4 linked regions of the Pelodiscus sinensis genome follow. The protein of the gene in region 4 interacts with the protein of the main gene of each other region in a pairwise test. Links are inferred from orthologs where the notes say so. Each region holds a gene or a part of one and is shown on either strand. Other genes may lie near its edges. The genes, in order: ASB7, ABITRAM, WT1 and HMBOX1.

Evidence for each region.
Region 1: the proteins of HMBOX1 (region 4) and ASB7 interact in binary tests that used the Homo sapiens proteins (3 or more experiments, as listed by UniProt). The two-hybrid records come from large-scale screens. The link is inferred for Pelodiscus sinensis from reciprocal best matches to the Homo sapiens genes HMBOX1 and ASB7.
Region 2: the proteins of HMBOX1 (region 4) and ABITRAM interact in binary tests that used the Homo sapiens proteins (3 or more experiments, as listed by UniProt). The two-hybrid records come from large-scale screens. The link is inferred for Pelodiscus sinensis from reciprocal best matches to the Homo sapiens genes HMBOX1 and ABITRAM.
Region 3: the proteins of HMBOX1 (region 4) and WT1 interact in binary tests that used the Homo sapiens proteins (3 or more experiments, as listed by UniProt). The link is inferred for Pelodiscus sinensis from reciprocal best matches to the Homo sapiens genes HMBOX1 and WT1.

The regions. Positions count from the first base shown.
Region 1 is NC_134724.1:7,682,599-7,690,060, reverse strand, and holds the start of ASB7 (ankyrin repeat and SOCS box protein 7), read left to right. Parts: upstream 1-4,454; 5' UTR 4,455-4,638; intron 4,639-6,536; exon of another isoform or gene 6,537-6,582; intron 6,583-6,986; 5' UTR 6,987-7,193; intron 7,194-7,462. UniProt on the Homo sapiens protein: Probable substrate-recognition component of a SCF-like ECS (Elongin-Cullin-SOCS-box protein) E3 ubiquitin-protein ligase complex which mediates the ubiquitination and subsequent proteasomal degradation of target proteins.
Region 2 is NC_134712.1:144,204,850-144,212,089, forward strand, and holds the start of ABITRAM (protein Abitram), read right to left. Parts: upstream 3,004-7,240; 5' UTR 2,950-3,003; coding exon 2,895-2,949; intron 2,865-2,894; exon of another isoform or gene 2,487-2,864; intron 1-2,486. UniProt on the Homo sapiens protein: Actin-binding protein that regulates actin polymerization, filopodia dynamics and increases the branching of proximal dendrites of developing neurons.
Region 3 is NC_134714.1:97,900,669-97,908,366, forward strand, and holds the start of WT1 (Wilms tumor protein), read right to left. Parts: upstream 3,001-7,698; 5' UTR 2,718-3,000; coding exon 2,327-2,717; intron 1-2,326. Other genes in the region: uncharacterized protein LOC112546777, read left to right, coding at 3,014-3,474. UniProt on the Homo sapiens protein: Transcription factor that plays an important role in cellular development and cell survival. Recognizes and binds to the DNA sequence 5'-GCG(T/G)GGGCG-3'. Regulates the expression of numerous target genes, including EPO.
Region 4 is NC_134713.1:4,737,597-4,745,127, forward strand, and holds the start of HMBOX1 (homeobox-containing protein 1), read right to left. Parts: upstream 3,011-7,531; 5' UTR 2,732-3,010; intron 1-2,731. Other genes in the region: INTS9 (integrator complex subunit 9), read left to right, coding at 3,812-3,862. UniProt on the Homo sapiens protein: Binds directly to 5'-TTAGGG-3' repeats in telomeric DNA. Associates with the telomerase complex at sites of active telomere processing and positively regulates telomere elongation.

The sequences.
Region 1 (7,462 bases), on a different chromosome or scaffold from region 4:
TTGTTTTTTTATTTCCCCCGGTGGGTAATTGAGATTTACCAATGCTCGGTAGAGATCTTGAAGTTTCTGATCTCTGTCAGTGGGATTAGAGCAGATGCGATTGTACCTAAGGGCCTGACTATAGACCAGTTTCAAGTTAATATCCAAGTTTTCATACCCCCTACTCATAACTCCAGTATCTGAAGAAGTGGGCTGTGCCCATGAAAGCTCATGATACCATCTACATGTTTTGTTACTCTATAAAGTGCTACGAGACCATTGGTTGTTGTTTTTTTTTTTTAAACACATTATAAAGACAGCTTCCCCACTTATCACCCCTGATTAGCCATTCATTGACTTATAAACAGCTATTCCCTTCTTCCCTTCCTCCCTCTCTCCCCACCTTCTGTTCTAAATCTGATTTGTCAGTTTAATAATGTGTTCACTTTTTTCACAGTATTCCTTTGGTATATATGGTCATGCCAATTCTCTTTCAGAATATGATTTGAGGAAGTGGGTCTGGCCCATGAAAACTCAACGTCTATTAAACCATCTTGTTAGTCTTTATAGTAGTACATAGTTTTTCCTTTTGTCTTAAAAAAATGGAGATTAATGACCAGATATTGCACATAAGCTCAATGGGAGTAATATGCAAATACTGAAAAAAATATATAAAAAGTTTAAAAAAAAGACAATCTTTCTAAAAGTGTACCAAAGGAGTAAAAATAAAGTTTTCCGCTACCAATTTAGGAGAAAGACTGGATGGCTAAGTATGATTCAAGGTAGTTGCTAACTGTTAGCCATCCAATCTTTCTCCTAAATTGGTAGCGGAAAACTTTATTTTTAGTCTTTTTTTTTTTTTTTAGTTTTTTATTTTTGTCTTTTTGGTCTTTTCCCTCCACACACACTGCGGGATTGCTAGCTCCCCTTCTCTCCCCCACACACAAACTCTCTGGGGATACTGCCTTTCCCCCAGCTCTGGGGCTGTTGCCCTCCTGGTTCTGGTGCTACTACCCTCCCTCCAACTCTGGGGCTGCTGCCCTCCCTCCAACTCTGGGGCTGCTGCCAGGGGACCGGGAGCCAGAACTGGCAGGGGTGGCCTGCTGCTTCGGCTACAGCGGGAGCCAGGCAGCAGATCACTTCTACAGGAGCTGGTGGGGACGGTCGGCCTGTGTGCAGGAAAGGCAAGTTGAAAATCCCATGATAGACAGACAAGAACGGTGACAGCTTAATAGAAAAATTGTCTAATAAGAATTGGTCCCTCACTTTCATAAACAGAATAAAACAAAGCGTATGTAACTGCATTAGTTAACATCTACATTTTCCAAATTAGTCTCTAATTCTGGGTGCCAAACTCCAGAAGCCATAAGCCTGATTTCTAGGGCTGCTAAAATATTAGCTAGTGGTACCCAGCATATATATAGTACTTTTTAGCTGAACATCTCAAAGTACTTTCCAAAGATAGCAAATATTCCCATTTTATATATGTGGAATCTAAGAGATAGATGGATAAAGTGATTTGCTAAGGTTATGTGGCAAGTTAGTGACAGATTGAAGTATATAATCCAAGTGTCCTGACAGTGACTACCATAACTAGACCATATTGCCTCTGAGGCAGAATCTAAAATTGGGATTGGAAGATAAGACAATCCACAATGGACTATAAACGTTATGGTAGCATGCATTTTTTTACATAGACATCCATGTATTTTTGAGAATATCCTTCCACAGCACTTGTTGACTTGCAGTTTTAGAACCTTACAATGTTCCTCAACCAAATTTCAGTGAGGCTACTGTAGGGACCTCTATCAGTTCACAAAGCCTGAACTTTAAATATTAAGAATAAATCTGATACTTCAGGCTACATATTTACCCTTCATTTGTGGAATATACTTTGAATTCTACCTAAGATAGAAAATTATCTGAAAACTCATAAAATTTATTTGTGACTATTTTATACAACACACTTTACCTAAACAAATACACATACATTTATTAATACACTCAGGACCAAACTGAATTACTTCCCTAAATGTTAAATGAATGGCTCTCTTGTGTACCAGTTAATACAATGCAATGAGGCTGTTAGGGTGAATCAACTTTAGAACTCTTCTAGGACTAGCACTATGAAATATTATCTTTCCAATACACTAGTGCTTGCACTTTCCCAGATTATATATTTTACAGCACCATTAATTTACATAGTACTTTACCAAACTTCAATAAACCATGCCACTTGTTTCAAAGACCTCAATCTAAAATAGATTAAAAAAATATAGGATACCAGGTCAGGAAAAAGTGAGTGGTGATCATTACAAAGTGGGACAGGATTGCTTTAAAAGATAGGTTTTAAAGGGTGAATTTGAAAGAAGAGATGCCAGAGGACAACAGAGATATATTCAACTATAGTAAGACAGCATGGCAGATAACTAAACAGGTGAGGAAGGGAGTAACAGCAGTATGACAGTAGGGATATGTAAGGAATAATGTACTCCAATTATATCTAATATTATGGCAGCTCCTAGAAGCCAATCAACAGAACGACCCAGAATAAGACACAATCCCTGTGATGACGAATTTGTAATGTAAACAGACGAGACAAAAGATTGAGAAAAAAGAGATATAGCTTACAAGCAGCATGAGTAACATAATGATTGTCAAACATCATGTAAATTTCATTACTGTTTTGGTTTGATTTAAATACAAATCACAGGGGTTGATAAATAAGGATTACCTAAATAGAAAGCAAGGGAAGAGAGACACTAAAGGAAAAGAAGGGAAGGGATCAGAGAAGGAAGCATGGAAAATAGTTTATTTGAGGCCAATAAATTTTGAGGAATACCATAAAACATGTAAGTCAATGGCTAGTCACTAACTCCACAATATCTCTAAAATGGAATTATGAAGTCAATATACATTTTCAGTGTGGAGTACTTAAGCTAAGTCCTATATACAAAAATCCATCACTCATTTGATAGTGACTAACGAAACAGTTGTTTTCAAATCACATTATCTTCTACATTCTCAGACTACATCTTAAGTTGCAAGTGTTTTTTTTTATTACAGCTGACATGCAGCTGGATGGTATATTATGACTCACATAATACAATTAGCCAAAAAGCATGTGTTTCTCACAATCATGATTAAAGGAAAGTCCTGTTAAAACACTATGTTTGTTTTACTTTCAACTTCATTAAAGTAGATCATATTAAAATACTATTGCATGGAAAGCTTCTCTCTTTAATTGCGGTCTTCACAAACAGAAAACAATGGTGGTTGCAACTCTGATGTATGAAATATGGGGCATGAGGATTCTCTAATTTCACTGAAAGGCTTTTGTTTGCGTCAAGGAAGATCCACACTTAAATCATGAGGTATAAACTAAACTCTGGCTCTCTTAACTTTGTATGCGGGTGGAGAGTTGGGGGTTTTTAGCTTATAGGCTTGCCTTTAAAAACTGTTACATTTCCGGTCTCTGCGTGGGAATAAATATTTCCAAGGTAAATCACAGTTTGACCTTCCTGTCTGTGCAAACACTTTCCACCAATTGTGAGGTGTGAACCATCTGCTGTCCTGATGGTCTGCAGTGTCGTTATAGATGGGCTGATTCCTAGATAGGAAACACAAGGTGGGTGACGTCATTTCTATTATTGAACCAACTCCTGTGGGTGAAAAAGACCACCTTCAAGTTCAAAGTTTAGACAGACCTGTTTTTTCCAGGTCTGGGAAACCAGCTTGGAAGCTGGTCTCGTTCACCCACAGAACATTGGTCCAACAAACTGTATTACCTCTCCCACCGTCTGCCTCCGGATTAGAATTTAGAATGTCACTTTTTCACGGCTGGTCCTTACAGAAGAAAAAAACCAACCACCCAGCCAATATCCTTGCTGAGCAGCGCCATAATTATCAGCACACAGTGGGGGAAATTGCCTCACTCCCCCCCCCCAGTGGTTTTCATCCTCCAGCCCCAAAACGTGCAGGCCACATCGGGATGCGAAAGAGCAGAGCCAACCCCCGCCCCCAAAGGCTGCGCCTCAGCTCCCCCCGCAGCGCCGCCTCCTGCTTCCCACACCTCCCCTCCCCCTTCCCCTTCCTCGCACCCTCGGCCCAGCCTCCTCACCCCCTCCCGCCAACGCCTCCGGGCTTCCACAGCCCGGCCGCCAGCGCAACCCCCTCCTCCCGGCCCAGCCGCCCTCACCGAGCCGCCTCAGGTCCCACGCTCAGCCATCGCCGCCCACCCAGGGCTGCTAGGCAACCGCCTCGCTTTACCCGCCCTCCGGAGACGGGGCGCGGGAGGGCCCACTTCTCCCAGGACAAATTCGAGCGCAAGCAGCCCTTACCGTTAGCTGTCGCAAGGGCCCCCCCTCTTCCCACCCCGCTTTACGGCACTGGGCGGGGAGATAAACGGAGTCACCCAACCCGGCGCGGCGGTGGTTTACGGCTCGGGGCGGAGCTATGGCGGCGGCAGCGGATTGGCTGCGGTGGGGGTCAGTCCCTGCCCAGTGACCCCGGAGTGAGGAGGGGGGCGGCTCAGTCAGTGTAAAGTGTCCCCACAACGCCCCCGGCTGGGTCTGCGGCTCCCCCCACTCCTGAGCCAGTGCCAGTGGGGGGAGCGGCCGCGGAGCGACCGCCGGTCCCGCCCCCCTCAGGAGGAGACAGGTAACGGCTGAAGCCCGCTCTGTCCCGAGACCCCGTCAGGGGGGCGCCTGCCGCGGGAGCGCTCCACCCCCGCCCCGAGTCTGCGCCCCCTTCCCATGGGACTCTGCGGTGTGTGGGGGAGGGGGATAGTCTGCAGCCCCGTGCTCCTCTGAGACTGGGGGGGGCACTAGCCCATCCCCCCCGGACAGGGTCTGGGGAGGAGTATTCCCGCTGTGGGGCTGAGGGCCACCCCCCGCTTTGGCCCATGGTTCCCTTGAGACGGTCTTTAGGGGGGGAGGTTATCTCCCCCCACCCGGCCCAAAGTCCCCGAGGCTCTTCCCATCGCCCTCATCTCGCTGACTCTTTCGAGGGGGACGTGCTCTTCGCTCGTCACTATCCCCTGCCCCCGTCATGCTCCCAAGACTGTTATGGAGCAGAGCAAATCTGCCCTATGCCCCTCTCTTAATCCCCCGCCCCCGTCACTGCACTACAGGGGGTTCACGCTTCTCTTTTCCGCTGGTCTCTTTTCAATGCCTCGAAATTCCCTGTTTTGTGCGCTGCTCCCTTCCCCACCTTTCAACCTCTTCCCCACTACTGGGGTTCTCTCAGCAAATTTTTGGAGGCCTCATAGTGTGGCCACTAACTTTTGTGGTGGCCACTATGAAAATTTTCCTTAAAATATTTAACTTCAGTGAAAATAAATAAAAGGTGGAAGATTTATGTGATCCGAAGAGAAACATACACACATACATGTCCAGATCGTTATAATTTATGTAGATTTTTTTTAGACTCAATAATAACATACAGTTGTCCCTATTTTTTACTTGCCCTAAATAAGAATAGAAACAAAAATAAGGGGCTTTGCCTGTTGTTGTCTTTTGTTGTTGTTTTTTTTGCTTTTTTTTTAGTTACAGGTTTTTTTTAAGACTAACTAGCTAGTAAGTTGTCTTTTGTTTAAAAAAAAAGATATTGGTATGTTTGTTAATATCGCTTTTTGCAGCCAATTTATTGGCTAGTTCGGAGGCAGTAAAAAGTTATATTAACTTACAAATATCACTTTCCATCACAGACTTATTCAGCCCTGGTAGGTGAAGGATAAATTAAGCCTTGAATGGAAAGGTGGGTAGGGAGGTAGCAAGGACTGGGGTATTGGTATGTATGTATAGGTGAGCGGCCAGTGACTGCAGTGGGAGCTCAGGGTAATGGGGGAAGGCAGGGGAGAGTGAGCCCAAAACTCAGTAGCTGAAGTCCAAAACCCAACCAGTGTCTGTGCAGCCAAAGTCCAGAAACATGGGTGGAGTCCATGACGAACCTGCTGGCCTGTGGCCACAACCTGTGCCTGCCCCTTCAAGGCTGACACTAGAAGCCTGAGCTCCATCACACCTAGGAAAGGGGGGAAGTCGCACTGCATTTCTGCTCTTCTAGAGTGCATATCTCCAGGGCAGGGCCCAACCCCTCCTTTTGACCCCCTAGAGAGGAGTTGTACCTTCCCACTCCCCATTTTTCCAATCACCAGCTAGGAAGCTATGAGGGTAAGAAAACTTGTGTTGGCCACATTTGAGAAATGATGCTGTAGATTTTGGTTAGGCCGTAAAAGCCCATTTCTTGATCTTAGATGTTTCTCTAGCCATCCACCATTACTAGGCGTATGAATGTTTAACCAGTAGGGGCTGGAGCAGCTCCTGGACCCACTGCAGATTGGCTGCTCTGACTGGCTGTTCAGAACAGCCCCTGTCTGTGGTGGGCCCGGCCCAGGTGGTGCACCACAAACGGGGACTGTTCGGATCAGATGGCCAGTCATAGCAACCCTTGTTTGTGGTGGGTGGGCTGCTCCAGCCCTAAACAGTTAACCAGTTAAACATAATGTTTAACCAGTTAATCAATAAAACCGAATTTTACATTCCTAACCATTATCCTAGGATTCTGTTCTGGACCATCTGTGTTGCGACCTCAAAACCATGCCTGGTAGGTAATCTTCTTCTCCGAGCCCAACCTTTGTTCCTCAGAGGTCCCCAAGACTTTGTTTTTTGGTGAGGACTTGGGGACAGTTACCTTCCTGCTTTTTCTAATTCTCCAGAAACTCTGATTTTTTCTGTTATTTTCTGCCTACCCATTAATGTTCCTTGTTCCTTACTTCAATTACAATGAGACCATACTTTGAGAAGAATCTCTTGCTGGTTTTTTACCCACATTAAAACCCCAAATATTCCATATGGTTCACTCCTTCTTTTCAGTTTCCACTTTGGGGAAATACCCTGTGCTTCCTTTCTCTTCATTCTCCCTACTTCAACCTTGACAGTGTTTTGGATGCTAATTCCCTTTATCCTCCACTTCTCACTCATCTAACAGTACTAACTCCCTCTTTTCAGGCTCAAGCTGACTCAAGGGAGACTTGCAAACTGGGAATGCAAAGGAGAAGATACAGACTGTAAGAAAAATTGAAAGTGGCACTCAGTATAAAGGTGATAATCCACCTTCATTCTTATCTTGTATCCCAAGCCAACCCTGCATGTCCACACAAGCTTGTCTGGATGCTTATGGAACCCGTTCTTATTGGCTTTCTTGACTGATTTTATGTGAGTACCTAGGATTAGATTTCCCTCTTAGGTGTTTTTTTTTGTGGGTTTTTTTGGGGGGTTTTGGTTGTTTTGGTTTTTTTTTTTTAGAAAAAACAATTTGCTCTTTGGCTTAAAAAAGTAACAAAAATTTGCAGTATAGGGAATGAACTTTTTCCCTTTTCTGTGTCTTGTTCTGCACTTTGCGTTCTCATTTGATAAAATAAGCTCCAAACATTTATTTACTTTTTTTGTAGGTTGCAACTTCAAGATCTTTTTGTGGCTTCTCT
Region 2 (7,240 bases), on a different chromosome or scaffold from region 4:
GACGAACCAGCATTTCAGGTACCGCATTGCTGTTTGGAGGTTGGGGGAGCAGCCTGCGCACTTCCTAGGCCTTGGCGCGCAGCTGCAGGATCCCCAGGTACCAGTCCCTGTCCCCTCCCCCCACCCAGACCCCCACAAGTACCCAGTCCTGGCACCCACCGGCACCTTGGCCCCTGCCTCGGCACCCTGCCCCAGCATCCACTAGCACACTGCCTCAAGACCATGTCCCCTGCCCCGGCACCCACTGGCACCCTGTCCCCTGCCCCAGCAACCACAGGCACCCTGTCCCCTGCCCCAGCACCCTGTTCCCTACCCCAGTACCCACTGGCATCCTGTCCCAGCACCCTGTTCCCTGCCCCCACCAGCACAGTTGGGGCCACATTAGTGAGCCTTGAGGTGTTTGAAGGGGTTGTGTTTTTGTATCTGACTTGCATGGCCCTGACTGACTTTTCTGTGGGTCAGTGACTGCTGACTCAAAACAGGTTCCCCACCCCTCTCATAATAAAGACAATGCTGAAACTTTTTGTGTTTGACACAATATTTTATTTAAAAATGAAGCCTGGCCAACAAGCCGCCCATTGGGGCCAAGCCCTCATCTGGCCACAGCATCATAACACTCATGTACCTCCCACCCAGACCACAAATCTGAGCGTATCATACACTGGAACCCCCTGTCCTGAGCCTTTCATCCCCAAACTCCTGCACCCACACATCCTCAGTCTTCTGCCACAACACTCTTGTACCATTCACACACTGCAAATCTGTGTCCTGAGCCCATCATACTCCCTGTCTCCCTGCCCTGAGCCCCTCACACAATCCAACCCAAAATCCTGCACGCTCACATCTACAAGCCTGTGGCTTGCTCAGCACCCCAACCCTCCACCTGAGCCCAACACTTACCAGCCTGGAGCCCCCTGAGCCAGCATCCCCTTCTCCACATCCTCCTGAATCCAAATTCCCTCCCAGAGCTTGCTCCTCTCACCCTTTCCCACACACAAATCCCTCATTCCCACCCCAGAGCCTGCACCTCCTGTTTCAAACCACTGGGGATACAGCTAGACTACAGGAGGTTTTTAGGCAAACACGCTCTTTTGGCAGCAACTGTATTCCTCATTCCACGAGAAATAAGGGGGCTTCCAAAAGAAGAGTTTTTTCTAACATTTGGCCCAGTTTAGATGGGCCAAATGTCAAAAATCTCTTTCAGCAGAAGGATCAGAGAAAAAAAACGGCAGTATAGCTGTACCCTAAGACTGTATAAGGACCAGGTGATGGCGAGAAGAGGAACTGAGAGGGCAGAGCCTCAAGGAAAGGGTGGGGTGTTGAGGAAGGGATGGGGTAGCTCTTGGCTTGTACTGACATTTAAAAAGTGATCTTGGGTGTAAGAAGGTTGGAGACCACTGGTCCAACCATCCCTGACAGATGTCTATCTAACCTGCTTTTAAATATTTCCAGAGATGGAGATTGCACAACCTCTCTAGGCAATTTATTCCAATGTTTATCCACCCTGACAGGAAGTTTTTCTTAATATCCAACTTAAAGCTCCCTTGCTGCAATTTAAGCCCATTGCTACTTATCCTATCCTCAGAGACCAAGGAGAACAATTTTTCTCCCTCTTCCTTGTAACACTCTTTTAGGTACTTGAAAACTGCTAACATGTCCCTTCTGTCTTCTCCTTTCTAAACTAAACAAGCCCAGTTTTTTCAGTCTTCCCTCGTAGCTCATGTTCTCTAGACCTTTAATCATTCTTGTTGCTCTTCATTTCTCCACATCTTTCTTGAAATGTGGTGTGCAGAACTGGACACAATACTCAAATCAAGGCCTAATCAGCGCAGAGTAGAATTGGAAGGACTTCGCATGTCTTGCTCACAACACTCGTTATGCCCTTCCAGCAGGATTGTGAACCGTTAGTAACTACTCTGCCTGGTTATCCAGCCACTTGTGCACGCACCTTATAGTAGTCCCATCTAAATTGTATTTGCCTAGTTTATTTAAAGCTGGCTTCCATAAACACAGGCTCTCATCTCCCACCACCCACACTTCTGATACAGGGGCAGCGGGAAGAGAGGTGCATGTAATTATGCTGGTTAACCAATGAGCTCAGGCTTATTGGTTAATCATGTATATGTACACACATGTACATTAATATCCCTAGTAAACAGTGGAATTGTTGATAATGCCACTAGACAATACTGACTTTGTGGTTTGGCAAATTCTTTGGTTTGGCACCAGTAGGGTCCTGAGCATGCTGGACTAGAGCAGTTCCACCTGCACCTGTATTTCCCTGTCACACACCAACACCTCACTGTGCTGGCTGCTATATAAACACAGAACAAAGATACAGCTCTGCAGACCCGAGAAGTTTACAATGTATGAAACAAGGGACAACAGACGGGTACAGGAAAACGCGTCCAATCAACCCCATGAGACAATACTGGTCAGCATAATAAGCAACTGCCTCAGCGTAGACGCAGGGCCTGTTTTCTTACCCGGATAATGAAACCTGCAACCCTACTGCGGGCTCGGGCAGACTGGTACCCCGCTGCCTTATGCTGGAGTTCAGCCTCGTACTGGAGGCAGCTGCACTGGCCCAAGGCATTTTTGCAGCAGGGCACCTGCACGTGCGCCAGGGGAGCTGGGCTGCTCCCGCTGCTCCCGCTCCGAGGCACCCAAAGGAGCGTAAATCCCGCGCAGAGCCGCCCGCCCCGCCACACGCCCCCCCAAGCGGGGCGAGGGGCTTTCAACTGAGCGGCCAGGGCTGCGGCTAAAGCCCGCGCGAGGCTTCCGGCCCGCTGCTGCCTCGGCCCCCGGGCAGGGAGGGGCCGGTGACCGGAGGGGGGGGGAGGGGAAGCGGCCCGGCCCGGACCCCCCCGCGGCGCGTGACGAGAGGCGGGTACCTGGCTTGTACCAGCGCGTGAAGTAACGCTCCGTCACACCCGGCGCCGCGGCCATGCCCGCTCCTCCCCCCCCCCCGTCACGGGGTTACCGCCAGCCAATCAGCGCGCGAGACTCTGCCCAGCCCGCTTCCCGCTGGCGGTGCCCTCTCAACCCGTGTCTCCTCGCGCACACCCAGCCGCGCGCCCCTCCCCCCCCCGGCCGGAGCTGAGCGGGGTGACAACGCGGCAGCCACGAGGTAGCGCAGAGGTAGCGTCCCCGAGTCGTCTCTGCACATGTGGTTGCGTGTCACACCGGTCACACCTGGGGAGGTGAGGTACAGAGTGACGCAGCACACACACGGGGTACGGGTCAGCAGTCACAGCGCGCGCACACACACACAGACACACACACGGGGTTGCCAGGTGTCCAGTTTTGAACCGGACAGTCCAGTATTTGTATCTGTTCGGGAAACAAATTGAGAAAATATAAATGTCTGGTATTTTCTAAATAAGATGTAATGTAGATTGTGATGTAATGTCAAGTGTGTCCGGTATTTTTGTTAACACCATCTGGCAACCCTATGACCGGTTATGTGTAACACAGCCACTCAGCATACGCACGGATATGTGCAGGAGCTGCCTGAGGCCAGCTGCGGCAGCAGGCGGGCCACACAATTGGCGCCCCCCTCCCCCTGCACAGCTGTCAATGGCCATGACGTCATCACGGGGTGCTCGGGCCAGCGCTCTAGGCAACTGCCTAGTTTGCCTAGGCTCATGGGCTGCCCCTGCGTACATGTTACACAGTCACACATGCTGTGTATGTGTAAGGTACAGCCACATACCATAAGGGACATCATTCATGCTCATTCTGGCTAATAGCCATTGATGGATGTATCTTCCATTAATGTATCTAGCTCTTTTTTGAACCCTGTTAAAGTCCTGGCCTCCACAACATTCTCTAACAAAGAGTTCCACAGGTTGATTATACATTTTGGCTGTGTCTAGACTGGCCAGTTTTTCAAGAAAATCAGCCGCTTTTCCGGAAAAACTTGCCAGCTGTCTACACTGGCCGCTTGAATTTCCTCAAAAGAACTGACTTCCTACTGTAAGAAATCAGTGCTTTTTGCGGAAATACTATGCTGCTCCCTCTTTTGCGCAAAATTTTTGCACAAAAGGGCCAGTGTAGACAGCTGAGATTTGTTTTGCGCAAAAAAGCCCCGATCGCGAAAATGGAGATCGGGGCTTTTTTGCACAAAAGTACATCTAGATTGGCCACGGACGCTTTTCCGCAAAAAGTGCTTTTTCGGAAAAGCATCCATGCCAATCTAGACGCGCTTTTCCGCAAATGCTTTTAACAGAAAACTTTTCCGTTAAAAGCATTTCCGGAAAATCATGCCAGTGTAGACGCAGTCTGTGTGAGGAAATATTGTTTTGGTTTTTTTAAAACCTTTTATCTATTAATTTAATGTGGTGACCCCTAGTTCTTATGGGAACAAGTAAATAACTTTTCCTTATTCATGTTCTCCACACCAGTGATGATTTGATAGACCTCTATCATATCCCCCCTTCATATTTTCTAAGCTGAAAATCACCACTCTTACTCATCTCTGGTATGGCAACTATTCCATACCCCTAATCATTTTGTTGCCCTTTTCTGAACTTTTTCTAATGCAAAGATATGTTTTTTGACAATGAAGTTACCATATTTGCATGCAGTATTCAAGATGTGGGCATACAATGAATTTATATAGAGGCAGTGAGATATCCTCTATTTTATTCCCTATCCCTTTTAAAATTATTCCTAACACTCTGTTTGCTTTTTTAACTGCTGGTGCACATTGAATGGATGTTTTTAGAGAACTATCTACAATGAGTCCAAGATCTCTCCTTAGTGGAAAAAGCTACTTTATTTCCCATCATTTTATATATAGTTGGGATTGTTTTCCAATATGCACTACTTTGCATTTATCAACATTAAAATGTATCTGCCATTTTGTTGCCCATTTATTTTTATGAGATCCCTTTGAAACTCTTTGCAATCTGCTTTGTACTTAACTGTAATGACCAGTTTAGTATCATCTGCAAATGCTGTCACCTCATTGTTCACCCCTTTCTCCAAATAATTTATGAATATGTTGAATAGAATTGGTCCCAGTATGGACCCTTGTAGGACACCACTAGTTACATCTCTCCATTCTGAAAGCTGACCAATTATTATTCCATTTTTTGAGGAGTACAGGATCTTTTGAAAAGGGGGTTCTTTTTTGAAAGAACTGCATCTAGACAGTGGTTTCATTTTCAAATACCCGTTTTTGAAAGAATGCACGGCTGCCATTATGCAAATGAAGCGCGGGAAATTCAAATTCCAGCTTCATTTGCAATTTCGATCTGTCTAATTGACATCTCTCTTTCGAAAGAGGGATGTAGTCTAGACCAGTGTTTCTCAACCAGTAGTACGAGTACCCTTAGGGGTACTCGAGAGAAGCCTGGGGGGTACCTCAACACAACTGAATTTGGAGAAAACTGAATGTTTGTTTTAAGTTTTACAACGTTTTATTATTTTTGTACTTTTTACACCCAAAAATTTCATCACCCACCTGGCTACAATTAAGTTGTTTAAACAAATGTGTTGCAATGGTAGAAAAAAATGTGTGTGTCTGAAAACTAGGTAGTGGGGGTACTTAATTTTTTTTAAAGGGGTACTTTATAAAAAAAGGTTGAGAAACACTGACCTAGACATAACCTCAGTGGTGACTGCTGGGGAAGAAGAAAAGGAGGGCACCAGCCACATGCTCACCTCCTACATGACTTCTATCACATTGTTGGGCATGAAGACAAAGATTAAGGCAAGACTACACAACACACAGGCCCCATGTAAGTCAGTTCTGCTGATATTAATAAAATGCAATATTCACCCCATTTCTACCCATATGACAGCACTTTTAATAAGCAATGACAGTCCAGACATTTAACTACAGGCAGTCCCCGACTTACGAACGGGGCTTTCTCGCCCCGGAGCTCGAAGGCAGCGGTCAGCCACATCGACCTCCGGGGCGAGAAAAGCTGCTCCCGGTGCCCCTGGTCTGCTGGGGACCGTCTCCAGCAGACCAGGGGCATCGGGAGCAAAGCCGCAGCGGCGGCGGGTCCCGCGCCAGAGCAAAGCCTCAGAGGCGAGGCACCCCGCCGCTGCACCTTTGCTCCCCGTGTCCCTGGTCTGCTGGGGGGGGGCCCAGCTAGTGTGCTCCCCCCCCCCCCCCAGCAGACCAGGCTTTTGTTGTGGACCCTGGGGCAGAGCAGCTGGGGAGCTGCCGGTTGGTCCCGCAGTGCCACTCTGGGCACTACTGGACCAACCCGGCAGCACCCCAGCTGCTCTGCCCCAGGTGTCCTGATTCAGCCGCTGCTGGTCAGTTTCAGCAGCGGCTGAATCAGGACGCCTGGGGCAGAGCAGCTGGGGTGCTGCTGGGTAGGTCCAGTAGCGCCGAGGAGCGGCGCTACTGGAGCAACCCAGCAGCACCCCAGCTGCTCTGCCCCAGGCGTCCCCAAGTCAGCCGCTGCTGAAACTGACCAGCGCTGACTACAGGAAGCCCAAGGCACAGTTGCTCTGCCCCGGGCTTCCTGGAATCAGCGGCTGATCAGTTTCAGCCGCAGCTGACTTGGGGTTCTTAAGTTGAATCTGTATGTAAGTCAGAACTGGCGGTCACTTTCAGCAGCGGCTGAATCTGGACGCCAGTTCCGATTTACATACAGATTCAACTTAAGAACAAACCTGCAGTCCTTATCTTGTACATAACCCGGGGACTGCCTGTACTAAAACGCATATAAACAGAAGACCATTATATTGAGTACTTTTTTGTTTTGGCTCCCACCCACGGGCCATGTGTTGAGTCCCACGTAAACCCAAAATGGCTTGTGGAAACATGCAGGAAATATTTAATCTTAAACTGAGTTAGATTATCTGTGAATTAATCCCAGAGAAAACATTCTCTCTCTCCAACTGAGTGAAATCTAGCAAATATGCATACTAATTGGGCAAAATGTGACCTTATGACCTTTTGGCGATCTAGCATAAAAGTGTTGTCCTAAGATGAGGTGAGTATTTCAGGATCCTAACAATATTAGTGTTGTGTATCTCTGCAATTTTGAAGAGGCAGGGTCAAACATTGCTGTTTCATCAGTCTGATTAATTGAAAACAAAATATGATTGTTCAAACATAGGCATTTTTTTCTGTTTCAGAGAATAACTAATCAATTTTTTATGACAACCTGAGTCCTTTATAAAAGCCACCATACTTCAGCTTAAACAAACATAATTCAAATGATTCCTTTCACTTTGACTTCTGCTCATTTTTATTAGCAATTCTATATAA
Region 3 (7,698 bases), on a different chromosome or scaffold from region 4:
AAAAAAAACTTTTGCTAGCTATACTGCCCTTGTCTATGTCTTAGAAGTGGCTCGCTTTCCCCAATTCTTTCAGTTTTGTTTGTTTGGTTGTTTGTTTCCTGGAATACCCCAGGAACATTGCAGACATAATTTGAAACGTAAGCAAACATAGAATAACTTCTTTGGAGACCGTAGGTTGTGCGAAAAGGGCTTAACATTAAAAGTCCAACATTAGCCGAGCCCAAACTACAAAAAAGCCAGAATAAAACAAACAAAAAACCCAGAGCGGGTATTTGGAAAGATGAATGCTCTTCAGTTTGCAAATCACGAAAGGTTAAGTTTCCCATAGCGTTATTGTACATAAGGTGAAGGAGAGTAGCGGTACTCCGGTACCCCCGGCTACTCCACTGCCCAGTATTCTGTGTTTTAAAAACAATAAAAATAACAAAAACGCCCTTCGGCGCGCGCACACGCTCAGTTCTCAAATAAATCTGCCATCCCCCCCCCCCCCCCCCCCACAGACAATTCCAATAGTTACTCGAGAGATCGCTTTTCAATAACAAGGCGTTTGAACTGCTTTGGGGATCAAGGACATGAACACAGCTCAGAGACACGTTACGTTTACTGCTCGAGACTCAACGAGCTTCGCATTTGGGTTTCGGGACTGCTTTTCTAACGCAGTGGCTACAATAATTAGGTAGTAAATGATGAGGTTCAAACACTTCATCTTTCTGCACAGCCTTAACTCTGCCTCCCCAATGCCTATTCCACGCAATTCAAATACGAATGAAAGGCCCGTTTCTTTATCGGGGTGATGGGCCGCCAATCTGCATTACAACGAGGCACCTGAAAAGGTAAGCGGTTCGGCCCTGCCAATATTGCACTCCTTCTGCAGAAGAAACTCTCTTCTTGAAGCTGACAGGTGTGTGTGTGTTTGCACACGCACGCACACTTTGTGGGTGTACACACATACTCCTGAGCGTCTGTGTCCACGCAGCGGCAACAGCTCTATTTGGTGCAGGGCAGACAGAACACCTTTGCTCAGGAGGGGTTCGTTGAGAAATCATGCAACCGGCCTGAAAGTCTCTTCCGTCTGACTAAAAACCCGATCCGGCCTTATTTAGTGTCTCTTAAAAGCTCTCATTAGCTCACGGGTGTCCCACCTATAATTCTATTTTCCCAGTGTTAGGTTTCCGGTGAGTTTTGAGATGCATTTAAGACAATTAATTAGTAGTTGGTTAGATGAAGTACCTCTAACAGAGGAAACTCTTAATCGAGGAGCCATTGCAAGCCTTCAGCTTCACCAGGACAGAATTGCGCATAGAATAAAAAAGACGCATTTATTTCCTCGAAAGGGGGGAAAGGCAGTACTTTATTACATGTTGCTTGGTATATCCTCCTTCCACGGCCACGTCTGCTGATATTTAAATTACAGCAGATTGAAGGAAAATGATTAGATTATAGCTATCTTTCTAGGCATATGGATTGCTGAATTTCTACTAAAAGATTCTTCTGGTAATTTAATGTTTGTAAATTAAATGGGTATTGAAAATAGGAAATACCACAGGGATTACTTTGTCGGAGATGACATTACAACACCACATTGAGAATATCTAAATTTTATCCCAATGTTTGCTTAGTTCGGAGGTTTATTTTTTAAATATCTGCCAATTATGGGAGATGCCACAGTTCGCTGATTACTGAAGAGGGGAAAGTGGGCGTGTTATTTCACAGTTTCTAAAAGTTAAACAAATAAAAGGGCTTCAGATTAAAAGCACATTCTAACCTAAGCGACTTATGTACGACGCATTAGCAGTTTAGGATACATCCCAACGTCATACCAGAGACATTAGAAATCAGTTCTTTCGAGCACCTTGCCCGGCATTGGACTGTCGCACTTGAACACAAAGCTGTGCAAGCGGAAAGTTTCACGGGCTACGAGAGCGAACCACCCACCTGCGCTAAGTGGGAAGCTGAACTGGAACTCGGCTGAAGAGCGAGCAGACCAGCAAGGCCACTTCAGATAGTATTCGAAAGAGAGGCCGAGCGAATGGCTAGCCCGGTTTAAGCCGGGGTGCAATGGAAGTTCCTGCAGAGCCCCGGCTGGCAGAACCGGTCCCATCAATGTTGGCCCAAAGGGACACACCAAGCCCCGGCGGAAGCCTGAGGGGAAGGTGTCTGGTAGTGGTGGTCTATTGAATTGCAGGAGGAGGCGGCCCGCGAGGTTCAGCGTTACCTGACCCAGCTGCTGCCCGGCGGGCTGTGTTTACGCGCCTGTGAGGCTGGCAGCCCTACGCGGGAGAGTCCCATTCGCCATCCCCCGCCCGGTGCCCCCGCCCGGTCTTACCCTGGTTGCGGATGGCTTGCTGGCTCTCCAGGCAGTTGGGCAAGTAGGGGCCGTTGGGGAACATGCGAGCCTGGCTGGAGGGCGCCTGGCTGGGCGCGGGGGCGCCGAAGGGCCCGTAGCGGCAGGCGCCGGCGGTGCCGGTGAACTGGCCGGAGAAGTGGACGGTGAAGGCGCTCAGGCATTGCTCCTCGTGCGGGTCCGCGCCGTTCCAGCTGGGCTCCTGCTTGATGAAGGAGTGCGGGGCCAGCGAGCCGTAGGACGCGCCCGGGGGGAAGTCCAGGACGGGCGCCCACTGCGCGGCGCTGCTGACGGGCATGCTGCAGTTGCTGTTGCCCGGCAGGGAGGACACGGAGGGGAGCAGGGCGTTGATATCCCGCACGTCGGACCCCATCTGGTCGCAAACTTTCCTCCTGCCGGCCAGCCAGTCCCCCCCGGGGCCGCACTTATTCCAGGCCACCTGCCCCCTGCCCGCCACGCCGGAGCCCGGCTCCGGCTGCAGGAACCAGCCTGCCGAGCTCAGCCCCTTGGGCGAAGCTTGCTCCGGAACACAAGCGCCCGGGTCCAGCCCCGCGGGAGCCGGCAGCAGCGCCAGGGCAAGGCTGTTCTCCAGGGTCGCCGCTTACTCCGACAGCAGCGGGAGAGAGGGCTGGGAAGAGCCGCGGGACTCGCCTCCAGCACCTTACTCGGATGCTGCCCGCTCGCCCTCCACCTCCCCAAGCTCAAATAGCGGGGCTTGCCCGGGAGGAGGAGTCAGGGGCTCTGATGCTCCATTCACACAAGCCCAGCCCGCTGCGCCAAGCCAGAGCCCGGGAGGGGGGGCTGGCGGGGCGCGCTCTCCCCTGCGCTTTCCTTCCACCCCGTGGTGCAAACGCAGCTACATTGAACCCGGACCGCCCTCGGGCTTGGGGAGCGAGAGTCGGCGGCAAGCGGCGGGTGAGCGGGCGCCAGGTGGCCCGTCAGTGCGCGCGTGTGGCTCACCGGGGGCCGGGCTGGGACGAGCCGCAGGCGCGAAGCAAGGACATGTCCAGAAAGGCAGAGGCATGTGTCCTGTCACCGCAAGTCTCTCGTGGCCAAAGGCCCCAGCGGAACGAAACGCCCCTGCGGAGGGGAAGCGGCCACTGCGCGCAAGGCCGGCGGACTTGGCTCCAGTAAGTGCGCTGCCCGGCAGGGGACCACCTAATGGGCCTGCTTTTGGGGGGGCCGCCTAGCGCGGGGGGGGGGTCGGAGTGAATTGTCCATGCACTGGGGAGATGGCTCCCCGCACGTCGCAGCGGGACACACTCTCGGGGCTCGGTGGGGAGTTAGCGTGCGCGGATGGCGGTGGGAAACTCTCTCGAAGCCCCAGCTGAAGCGGAGCGGAGCTATGAACGCGAAACGCTCGCAGGGCGGGGTGCGCAGGAAGGGACTGGAACTGGCTGGCCAGGGCTCAGAGGCCTGCGAGAGTCAGTCTCTTTAAACGGATGATCCGAATCCTGCGAAGCAAACCGGCGTTTTCATGAAACAGCCCCCCCGGGAAGGGTCCGGCCAGGCAGCCCGCCTCCGAGCCGTGCACAATTCCTAACGCGGACCGTCTAATCGTCTTCTGTTTCCCAAGGAGTCACCTGGCGCACCCCTCCCCGCCCTGGACAAGTCCTTCCCCCACACGGGGCTAGCGTAGGGCCGGGGTTCCCAGGATCCCCAGCAAAGCAGGGCTTGCGGGTGGCTTCGAGGCGCGATGCCAGAGCGGCCCTTAGCGAGCCTGCCCCTTCTCCGGGCAGACCCCCAGTTGACATTGTCCCACGACTCGCAGGGCGGTGGCCCACTGTAGCGCACGCTTTAGGGCGCTAACGAGCAGCTGAGGCTAGCACCTGCCCTAGCTAGATGTCCAGTCCCCGCCCCCCTTAGTTCCAGCTCCGCGCTCTGCCTCTAGCTCGCCCGGTCCCGCTTGGCAATGAGATGTGCTGAGTGGAATCCTAACTGCGGGGCTATGAACAATTAGGGCCTGATCCACAGGCCGCTCCAATGAACGGGGAACATTACCATTGACTTGAATGGGCTTTGGATCAAGTCTTTACCGCGGAGGGAGGTCATTAGAAAGCATGGGCTGCAAACACCCGCTGACTCTCCCCCGTGTGAAATTTCTTTCCAATTCCCCTCCTCTCGAGATGGACAAGCGGCAGTTTCTCCCATGGAAATGGATTTTGTTTGCGGCCAACAGACACTTGCAGCAGGGAAAGAGACCGATACAAACCCACCTTCCGTCTCCCAGCAGTCTGTCGCGTTGGTTTTCTCTGCCCTGATCAGCCAATAAAGGGATGGTAGTTTGTTCGGATTTGAAAGCACGGATTCTCTTTCCAAACACGAAATAGGGACTCCTGTAAGGCTGCCTCCTGCTTTCAAAGTAAATCATCTGCTTCATATAAACTGGGTTCTGATAGTCCCTCGAAGGCATATTTTGATATTGCATGTATATTCCACGAGAAGTGAAACCCATCCAAACCACGCCTTCGGTGTACTTTGCATCCCCTCCCTCCGCATAATTCAATCTGCATATAACATAAACATCTCTATGGTACATTTAGAATATTAAACAAAATGCAGCAGTCTCACTCGAACACCCACCCTACACGCTTTTGCTTCGGGAACTTACAAATAAAAAAAAACCCTCCTTACAATCTCAACGAACTGCAATTAGCATTTATCTGTAAAAACGAATTTGTAGTTTACATAGCAACTTTCTCTTTAATCCTTCACCTCCCCACAGCATCAGAAGTGATCACTAAGAGTTATGAGTTCAGATGGTATGTTTTAAACTAATCCAATGTGATGCAAATAATTGTAGTTAAGGATGAGGGTCTGAATTTGTTTTCTCCCTTAACTACAACATTTAGTCGCGTTAATTATTTAAGTGGTTAGACTACATGATTTTCGAAATAACTTTAAACAAATGTATTCAAAATCAGCAAATTGGTCTTACTACTTCGAAAAGGAAACAGATATTAAAGCAGAGGCAATCAGCGAAATGTTGCTGTTGTAATAATCAAAGATCGCCTTAGGTGTGAAGGTTTATTTTTAAGTGAGGATTAAACTAAAAAGGACGGTTTGGTATTAGCCCCAGAAAATTGCTTATGCAATTAGAACTCTTTCTTTCAAGGGAATCGAGGTGGTTCAAGCTTCGATTGCACTGATTGGTTTGGGGTTTTTTCTTATTTCTGTCCCCTTTTCTATTTCCGAATGTGGTACAAATTAACGAGTACTGAAAAAACTATAACCATGTCTTTTTGTTCCTATAGCTGGAGTAGCGGTTTTGAGCCATTGAAAGGTAAATATTCCTCTGGCTACAGTCCTTACTGCATTGGCTTGTTTTAAGATGTTTATAAGGGCTTTATAATTTAACTAACTTCCAATGCTAGATATTACAAAACATAGGTGGGAATGAACATTTTGAGCTGTTAATATCTAGTATTTTATTTTCTTCGACAATTGTCTGTTTAGGGATCTGAGCACAAGCGCCGTCTTCCGAAAAGGGGATTATCTTGTTCTTTAGTAAGTAGTTTGCGTTGTTGAAGTTTCAGGACGTTTTAGGGAACTGGAAAAGTAATTTCCTCATTAGGCAGGACTGCATTATTCAGACAGCCGGGAAGACTCAGAAAGCATTTCCAAATCTTCCCTTGTATCAGGTGGATAGGATCAAATGAACAACAAACTTTACATTCAAACAAGGAGCAAATAAATTCCAGCACCTTGCTTCTGTCTTTATACCCAATGCACCCGCTCCAGCTAAGAACAGACACTGAGCGTAGGGAAACAAGTCAACGTGTACCCTCCAAAATAAGTTTAATTAGTTAAACCATGTCTTATTACAGATCAATGGGGAGAGAGGAGCGGAAATGTCCCTTGCTGTGACTGGCACAGGTTACACACAGTCCCTAAGAGAGTGTCACCTGCCCTCAGCTGCAATGCTAAGTAGACACGGGCTGGCTATAGGCTAGGGAAGCATACACCTTCCCGAATCTATCAAGCCATCGCTTTTAAACAGTTTTTGTAAAGAGCCAGATTCAGGGGCATGTATCAGGAAACGCTCCCATAGGGCGAAGGCACAAATATACCAATTTGGAAACTTCTATTTTTGTCTCTACTACCGGGCTAAGCAAGGACGCCAATAAAAGACTGTGTGGGGAAAAAAATCAATTTGCTCGCCAACTAGCCTCCCTTGCCAATGATCAAGGGAAAATATCTGCGAGGACATCACAGAGAGCCCCTGGTAACTCGCCATCCCCACCGTTTGCAGCTATTTCCTCACATTCAATAGTGCCCCAGGTTAAAAATACCTCTGCTAGAGCTGCCGGTTATTGTTGCAGTTGTTTTCACACAAGAGCTAAATGTCAAGGGCGGGAGTGTGTCCGATAACTCAGGAAGGGGGTAGCACATGCATCCACAGCGGCTGAGCGGAGAGCCCCCTTCTTTCCAGAGTGAAAGCGATTGCAAGGAAACTGTGTTGTGTGTGTGTGTGTGTGTGTGTGTGTGTGTGTGTGTGTGTGTGTGTGTTTTGAAGGAAACGAGTCTTTCCCAAGTGCGTTTTCAGATCTCAGGCGCAAAGCTCCCTGTGAGAAGAGGGCCAGGCACCTTCCCTGCTCCAAAAAGAGCCTTGAAATATAGGTTTGTTTACAGCCGCCCCATTTTTAAACATTCGGAGGCCTGAGTCTAACCTCACACCAGTGTGAATCAGGAGTCACTCCACTGCCGCCGCAGAATTACCCAACTTAGAATAGTTCAGAACCTTGTCCCTGGGCCTCACACAGCAGAGGACAGGCCAGACCGGGTCAGCCCTGCGGTCATGGAGTCCAGTAGCCAGTCTCGCGGACAGTGGCCATGAGCAGCTGCTTCGGCGGAAGGTGTGAAAGCCCCTGGAGCCAGATGAGCGATCATTTCAGTGCCCCATTCCCACCAGGCCTCACGCAGCCCTCCCGTGCTTAGAAATGGGTTCAACCCCGGACGCAGGTTTAATCTCCCTTCCAACTTTTCCATAACGAATTGCGAAAGTGCTTTCAGACTGTGCAGATGTGTTTATTATTCCAGCCCTCGGGAGCAGAGCGCCCCGGCAAAATGGGTTTGGGGATCTAACTATCCACGCTGCTGCAGCGTTTCCTCTCTGTGGGCTTTCCCCCTCTGATTTTTCTTCCTTCCATCCTACCAATTCCTGGATGAGCATTCTTATTACGCTTTACTAAGCACCATAAATGATCCGCTCCTGGCTCGGCGGGTGGGGGAGAATGACTTAAACAGAGATAAATTTCCAGCAATCCCGATCTTTGTTCACGCTGTTCAGTGCAAACAGAGGGATCTGTCTCCTTTCACTCAGGGAGCTGATCAGGGTTTGATTATTTAAGTGC
Region 4 (7,531 bases):
CAGAGAGATGGCAAATAATTTTCATAACCAAAGACAAAGTCTGTCTGAAGCTAAAGAAGTTCCAATCATGTGTATGTAATGTGCTGCCTGTCCCCAATCATTTCCTTAAAGATTTAGCTCAGAAATGCAGCAAAGGAGGGTCAAAAAACCTCAAACAAATGAAGTTTACAGCCTGCTGTTGCAGAACTGTCCCCTAAGATAATTGTACAACAATGGAAGGGGAAAAAATAAACATGTTATTGTGATGAATTCACATAGACCCACTATCCGCTACTCCAGGCATCCCCATTGGCATGCCTGCGGTAAACAAATATAGATGCAGTTTCTACTAATGAGGCAGGGAACAGTGAGGCCAAGGAAAATGCAATCATCTCAAAGGAAAAAAACAATCGCACAGGACTCCTCCTCTCCCATCCATAGAGGAAATCAGATGCCAGCTGCACCATCCTAGGAAGGAAGCAGAGAGGCTTCTGCACCTGATGAGCCCTGCAGAAATGAGCTAGTGGTATCACGGGATCCAGACAGGCGCTCCGGGATTTTAGCAAGATGAGCTGACTGCCTAGCACAAGCCGTTTATACAACACAACTTTATTTCGGGTGGCATCATTCATGCAAATTGCATCTCCTTTATGAGTTCAATCTATCTAGTCCCTCTGATTATTGAGCCAAGAGCACACAGCCAGTACCTAACAGACTTACTTTTCCCAACTCAATGTCCTGGGCCATTACATTTAACATCCTCCACTTTCAGTCCACATGCATTCAGCACTTGAAGACACTTCTCTCTGTGTTGCCAGTGTTACTTGAGCTCCAGAATAAACTGAGTCGATAGGACTTCACAGACAGGGAAGTGGGAATATGTTTCATACTTCCTCTTCCCCTCCAACCCCAAAAGGCACTCTTTCCTTCCCCTATTTGAAGGGGGAGGGGGAAATAAACATATGATCAAAAGATTTTTCAGGGCTAATGCAAAAATTGTTTCCAAAGAAAATACCCTGCAGACACATTTAGAGGCACTTTTAACCACTCCTTCCTATACACCAAAACTCACCACCCAAAACTGAGGTGCAAGAGCCCAACTCAGTTCACCTTGCTGTATGTATACTTACACCTCAAAAAAACCCATCCTGCTCATTTTTTAACTCCACAGCAAAGCAAAAAATAAAAACAGAATGTAACAGCCTAACAGAATTCTCTGCCACCTTCTCCAGCCATCATCTTTTTAGGCACTTTCCGGGCATTCAAAGCAATGTCTCAGATACAAAATATAAATATTATTTTAACACCTTCCCCCCACCTCAAAACCTGAGCCTCATTTTAAAAGTAAAACCAAAATAAAAACCTCATCCATGCTCATCTCCCGTACATTCAAGGAGCCACCCTCTTATGTCCACTCCATCCCCCCCCACCCCGCCCTCCAGTGTTGAACACATCAGCTACAACATCCCCTTAGGATTCTCACCTATCTCTTCCTCATGATGCATGCTCTTGCTTCTGTATCAAGCAGATTTGTTTTGGTAGTAAGCTATCACTAGTGTCTTGGACATACAACCACAAAAGCACTGTGCCATCCCCCTACATCCACCCACACTCATCCGACCCTACCAACACAGTGTCTCTTCTCTTAACAAGGACCCTCCCTCTCCCAAGTTCTTTCATAGGCATATTATTTGTTTCAAAGGTACCCTCCCTGTCCTCCTCATAGGCCAGTATAAAATTCCTCCGCGAAAAACACCAACCTCCTCTTCTTTCACCTTAAGTCAGTCATGCCACACACATTGTGTGTCTCAAGAATAGAATCTAGGTATTAATAGTGCACTCATCACCATAATGTCCCAACAGTGGGCAAGGTGCCTTCCTTCTTTCCTAATTCACCCCACCCACCTAGTCCTGTGTTCAACTCCCTGCAAAACTACAACAGCCTGCAGAATAGCCCAACACACCCTGCAAGCAGCAACAGAATCTGTCCCTGTCCTCTTTCCCTTTACCTGTCCCCTATTTCAGGCAATGTGCATAGTCACACAAATTTCAGACACCACCCATCATAGACTCACAGGGCTGGAAGAGTCCTAAGGAGGTCATCAATTCCAGTCCCCTGCCCAAAGCAGGACCAACCCTAAAAAGTCCACCAGAAGCAAGTCTAACCTGGTGCAAGTCCCACTTCCCAAACACACCATTGCTCTCCCACAATCGTGTGCTTCTAGCGCACATGGAGCCACCAGCCTTTTCCATCCCAGCAGTACACTCCTCAGCAAAACCCAACCTAAAAGGATTCTGTCCCTTTCCCACCCATCTACCCCTCCTCGCCCCAAAAAATCAACCTCACTCGCAGCCTGTATTTCAAAGAAAGCAAGAAAACGGCCACCGAACCACAGTGTTGAACTCCCCCAGCAAAAAAAAAAAACAACAAAAAAACAAGCCTGCCTAGGAGACACCTCCCTGCCCCCACTTCAAGGATACAAGGAGCCACCCAGATCCCTTCTACTGAACTCTCCCAGCAAAATGTGCACAGGCTAAGGGGATCTCCCCCTCCACCAACGCCAAACCCAGCACAGGGCAAGGGGACCTGCCACCCCCAAATCCGCCTCACGCAGCCTGTGCTCCAGGGGCTCAAGGAAGCTCCCCCCCATCCCAGGGTTAAACTCCCCCAGCCAGGCCCAGCTCAAGCTCAGGGGACCCTTCCCATGCCCCTCCCAAAGCAGCTCGGTCCCCCACGCCCAGCAACACTCACCTCTGGACGCTGGTCCCTTCTCCACCTCACCATGGAAGAGCGCAAGTGGGGGATCCCCAGCCCCAGTGTGAGGGGGGCAATAACGGGGGTGCAGAGGGAGGGGAGCAATGGGGGTGAAAATCCTTCCGCGTCCAATCCCCCCTCTCCGGCCCCCCCCCAAGAGAAAATCCCCCCTCCCCCCTGCTCCTTTTTTTTTTTTTTTTTTTTTTTTTTGGCTCAATCACACCAGACTGACTGTCTTTGTCTGTCTGGCAAGCGCCATGTTGATATCAACATCCGAGCTCCCACCTGCCGCCGCTGCGCAGCCCTGGGACTTGTAGTTCCCCCCTCCCCTGGGTGAAGGGGAGAGCCGAGGCAGGAGGACTACAACTCCCAGCGTGCCCTTCCGGAACGGCGCGCCGACGGAGAGAGGGGCTGGGGAGAGGAAGGGACTACAACTCCCAGGATGCACCTGGGGAAGGGGTGGCAGGGCATGACTTCATCCTGGGCAGGGGCGGGCGGCGGCAAGAGGACTACGAGTCCCATGATGCTCTGCGCGGGGGAGGCTGGGCAGGAAAAGGGGCGGATGGTCACAGTAAATAGCGCCGGCCGGGTAAAGCATGAAGCTGGTGAGTCTGTGGAGCTAGTGTCTGTTTGGGGGGGCTGGGCTGAAGGGTCCCCCCTCGCTCCCGTCCCGGGCATGGGGGCGGGTCCTGCCTCTGGGCTTCAGGCCAGGCCTGGTTGCCATGGCTACGCAGTAGGCCCTAGAGAGTCTACTGAGCTTGAGGGGGGGCTCAGCCTTGGTGGAGCGTGGGGTCGCCCTCCCCCCACCGCTGGGGAAACTGAGGCACTTAGCGGGGGCAGGCCCCGGGGCGGCGCGTCGTGCTCTGTATGTGAGGCGAGGCTCCAAAGGCCCCAACTGTGACGGGGGCTTGGGGCCCACTGGGCCAGGCCCTGCCGCGCGGGGGTCAAGGAGCCGGCCACGCGCTCCGGGAGGTAGAGCCCCGTTTCAAACGTCAACCGTTCAGATGCGACGGTTAACCGGTTAACCGTCCTCCTGCGGGCGGGGCTCCTCTGGCCGGGCCGGCGCGCCCCCTGACCATGGTGGGCGGGGCTGGAGCAGCCCCTGGCCCGGGCGCGGCGAGGCTCCACGTGAGAAGCTGAGGGGCAGGAAGGGGTTGGTGGTAGAGAAGGGGACGCTTTTGAGGGGGGGTGTTGCCGAGAGGTAGGTAGGGTGTGTGTAGGTAGGGGGGGGTGGGGGTGTAGGTAGGGAGGGTGGGGGTGTGTGTGTGGGTAGGGGGGGTGTGTAGGGGGTGTGTGTAGGTAGGAGGGGGGTGGGTGTGTGGGTAGGGGGGGTGTGTAGGGGGTGTGTGTAGGTAGGAGGGGGGTGGGTGTGTGGGTAGGTGGGGGGTGGGTGTGTGTGTCGGGGGGCCCACACTGAAAATCATCAGATGCTGCTGCTCCTCGTCTGAAAGTTGGAGACCCTAAGCCACTCCCAGGATGGGTGAACCCAGATTCTGAGGGTTTTTTTTAACTTGGAGCGATACAGTCTTTACAGGTGGATGACTTTGGCTTACTTTGAAAAACAGAAGCTTAGGGGGGTCGCCAAGTTCGTCTGTACAGGATCAACTTAAAAACAACAAATGGTTTGGTAGCACTTTATAGACTAACAAAACATATAGAAAAACATATAGGCTACGTCTAGACTGGCAAGTTTTTCCGCAAAAGCAATTGCTTTTGTGGAAAAACTTGCCAGCTGTCTACACTGGCCACTTGAATTTGCGCAAGAAAACTGACGATCTAAGGTATGATCGTCAGAGTTCTTGCGCAAATACAATGCTGCTCCCATTCGGGGAAAAAACCCTCTTGCGCAAATGCTTTTGTGCAAGAGGGCCAGTGTAGACAACTGAGAATCGTTTTGTGCAAAAAAGCCCCGATGGCGAAAATGGCGATCGGGGCTTTCTTGCACGAAACCGCGTCTAGATTGGCATGGATGCTTTTCCGCAAAAAGTGCTTTGGCACAAAAGCGTCCGTGCCAATCTAGACGCTCTTTTCCGTAAATGCTTTTCACGGAAAAACTTTTCCGTTAAAAGCATTTGTGGAAAATCATGCCAGTCTAGATGTAGCCATAGACTAAGAAAACATGTAGATGGTATCATGAGCTTTCGTGGGCACAACCCACTTCTTCAGATGACCGTAGTTTCCCACAGGCAAAGTGTGTATTATAATACGACACAGACTTGTGGGGTGCAACTCCTGTGGGTTCTGACTCCATCTCTGGCTTGTTTTGTGACTAGGAGAAAATCACTTACCTTCACTGTGGCTTAATTTATCACTGTAAAATGAATTTATGGAGAGGTAGATGAAGGTACCAAACCTGCAGACTTTTACATAAAAACAGATATTAGACTAGACCAAAGCTCCATCTAGCACAGTAGCCTGTCTTCCGACAGTGGCCAATGCTAGACACCATAGAGGAAATGAACCGAACAGGGAATAACCAAGTTATCCATTCCCAGTTGCCCATGGGGCTTATGACAAACAGTTGCTAGGGACCTCATCCTGGCTAATAGCCTTCACAACACCCTTTGACAAAGTGTTTATATGATTCAGGTCTATAAAATCATGACTTATATGGAGAAAGCGAATAAGAAAGTGCTATTTACTCTTCATAACACAAGAGCTAGGCATGACCAAATGAAGTTAATAGGCAGCAGGTTTAAAGCAAATAAAAAGGAAATATTTCTTCACACAATGCGCAGTCAACCTGTGGAACTCTTTGCCGGAGGAGGACCATAACAGAGTTCAAAAAAGAGCTAGATTAATTCGTGGAGGACAGGTCCATCAGTGGTTATTAGTCAGGATGAGCAGGAATGGTGTCCCTAACCTCTGTTGGAAAATGGGAATGAACAACAGGGTATAGATACCTTGATTATTACTTGTTCTGTCCATTCCCTCTGGGGCACCTGGCATTGGCCACTGTCAGAAGACAGGATACTGGGATAGATGGACCTTTGGCCTGACCCTGTCTGTCCTTATGTAGCTCTTTTTTCTTGGGTTTTTGTCTTAGGTCACAAGGGATATTCAGGTTTTTTGGCAATTTCATCCTGGACCCTCATGTATTTGTTTTAAATATGGAAGAACAAGACAAAAATAAATCCACACCAGTCCTAAGCAATGGACACCTGCTCAAAAGCCCAGTGAAGACAATGGAATGATGACCTCTGATTTTGATGGGCTTTTATTCAGGCTCTTGCTGCTGCTGCTGACCATTATAAAGGCAAATCCAACAGCAAACTCCATTGTATATATACTGCCTATAACTAGCTTAGATCCATAACTTTAGAGCACTGGTGCACAATCTGCACTGGTTTATGGATAAAACTTGAAGTGTTGGATTTTAATCTATAAGTCTCTGAATGGCTTGAGGCCTTGTTCCCTGCACGATTGTCTCTCTCCCTTGCCAAACTGCCACATGTCAAGTCAGCAGAGTCACTCATACTCAACATAAATAAAATGGTGGAGCATTCTCTGTGAGGAGTCTGTTGATTTGGAGCTTGCTGCTTGCTTTGATCTGCCAAATCCCAGATGTGTTAATTTTCCACATACTTTTCAAAGCCTTTCTCTTTCTCTCTTCTCTAAGGTTGTTGAAGAGGTCATAGGTGGATATATTTGTGGACAAACTGTGGTTCATGTGTTATGATCTTTAATTAATGGGACAGATACCAAGAGCTTTGGATGGGTGTAATTGCATTTTTAGAGAACTGAAGAAAAAATAAATAGCAAACTGGACCTTCCAGTTGGACAAGCCCAAGAACACAATATTTGGGATATGTTGCTGGTCTGTTTTTAATGAGCTTTAAGCAATAATAATTTATGATCTTGTTGAAATAAATTGAAAAGGTTAATATACTACAACTTACATTATTTTAACATCATACAGGACACTGAGTTAAGTCATAAAAGAAAAAAAGGGGGGGAATTCCATGTAGTCAAGAGAAATCAAGGACATAACCCTGTTTTCTAAAAACAAGAGAGTTTTGAACACTGAGGATTGTAGTATACCCATTTTAAAACACTTAATTGCTGAATTTTGTAATGCCTTTGTTTAATTAAAGCCTATAGAAAATTATATTGTCTTTCCAACACATCTCTTCCCACTTGCTGGGTCTGTGGCAGTAGTTACATACGATTTCAGTCATACAAGGACTTATTCATGTGATTAATTTTTCACGGGATTAGCTCCACTGACTTAATCATCACTGCATGCACTTTAAGCTCCAGCACTGCAAGGATTTCTCTTAAAGCTGTGGTGTCAGAAGGCAGAATTCAAAAGCATATGGTTGAGTACTTAAGCAATTACAAATCTAATAAGGAAAATGTCTCCATGATATTTCAGCTTCTTTAGAGGTGGATGCATACATTCTCCTCGAGTTTTAACTCAAACATTTCAGTCCTATGCTAATTAACAGAGTCAGAGCTAGAAAGTGAAATTGACAAATCTACCTTGTTCACTACAGAGTAAAATGTAATCAATTATTAAAAAATAAACTTAGCTTTTAAAATCAGTTTTAATCAATTTAGTTCTTCAAATGTCTGTGAGAAGTGCTTTCAATATGTAAAGTGATTATGGCCATACTTATCATGTAAATAATGTAAAAGGAGATGCTTTGCTGCCAGACCTAATGTCTTTTGATGTAAAACCAAAATCTTGACATCTTGACCACTTGAGGTCATTACAGGTCACAAGTAGGGGAGTGAATACCCTCATGTCCTGACCGCATTCTAGTTTGAGCTATCTCTCCGATTTCAATCATAAGC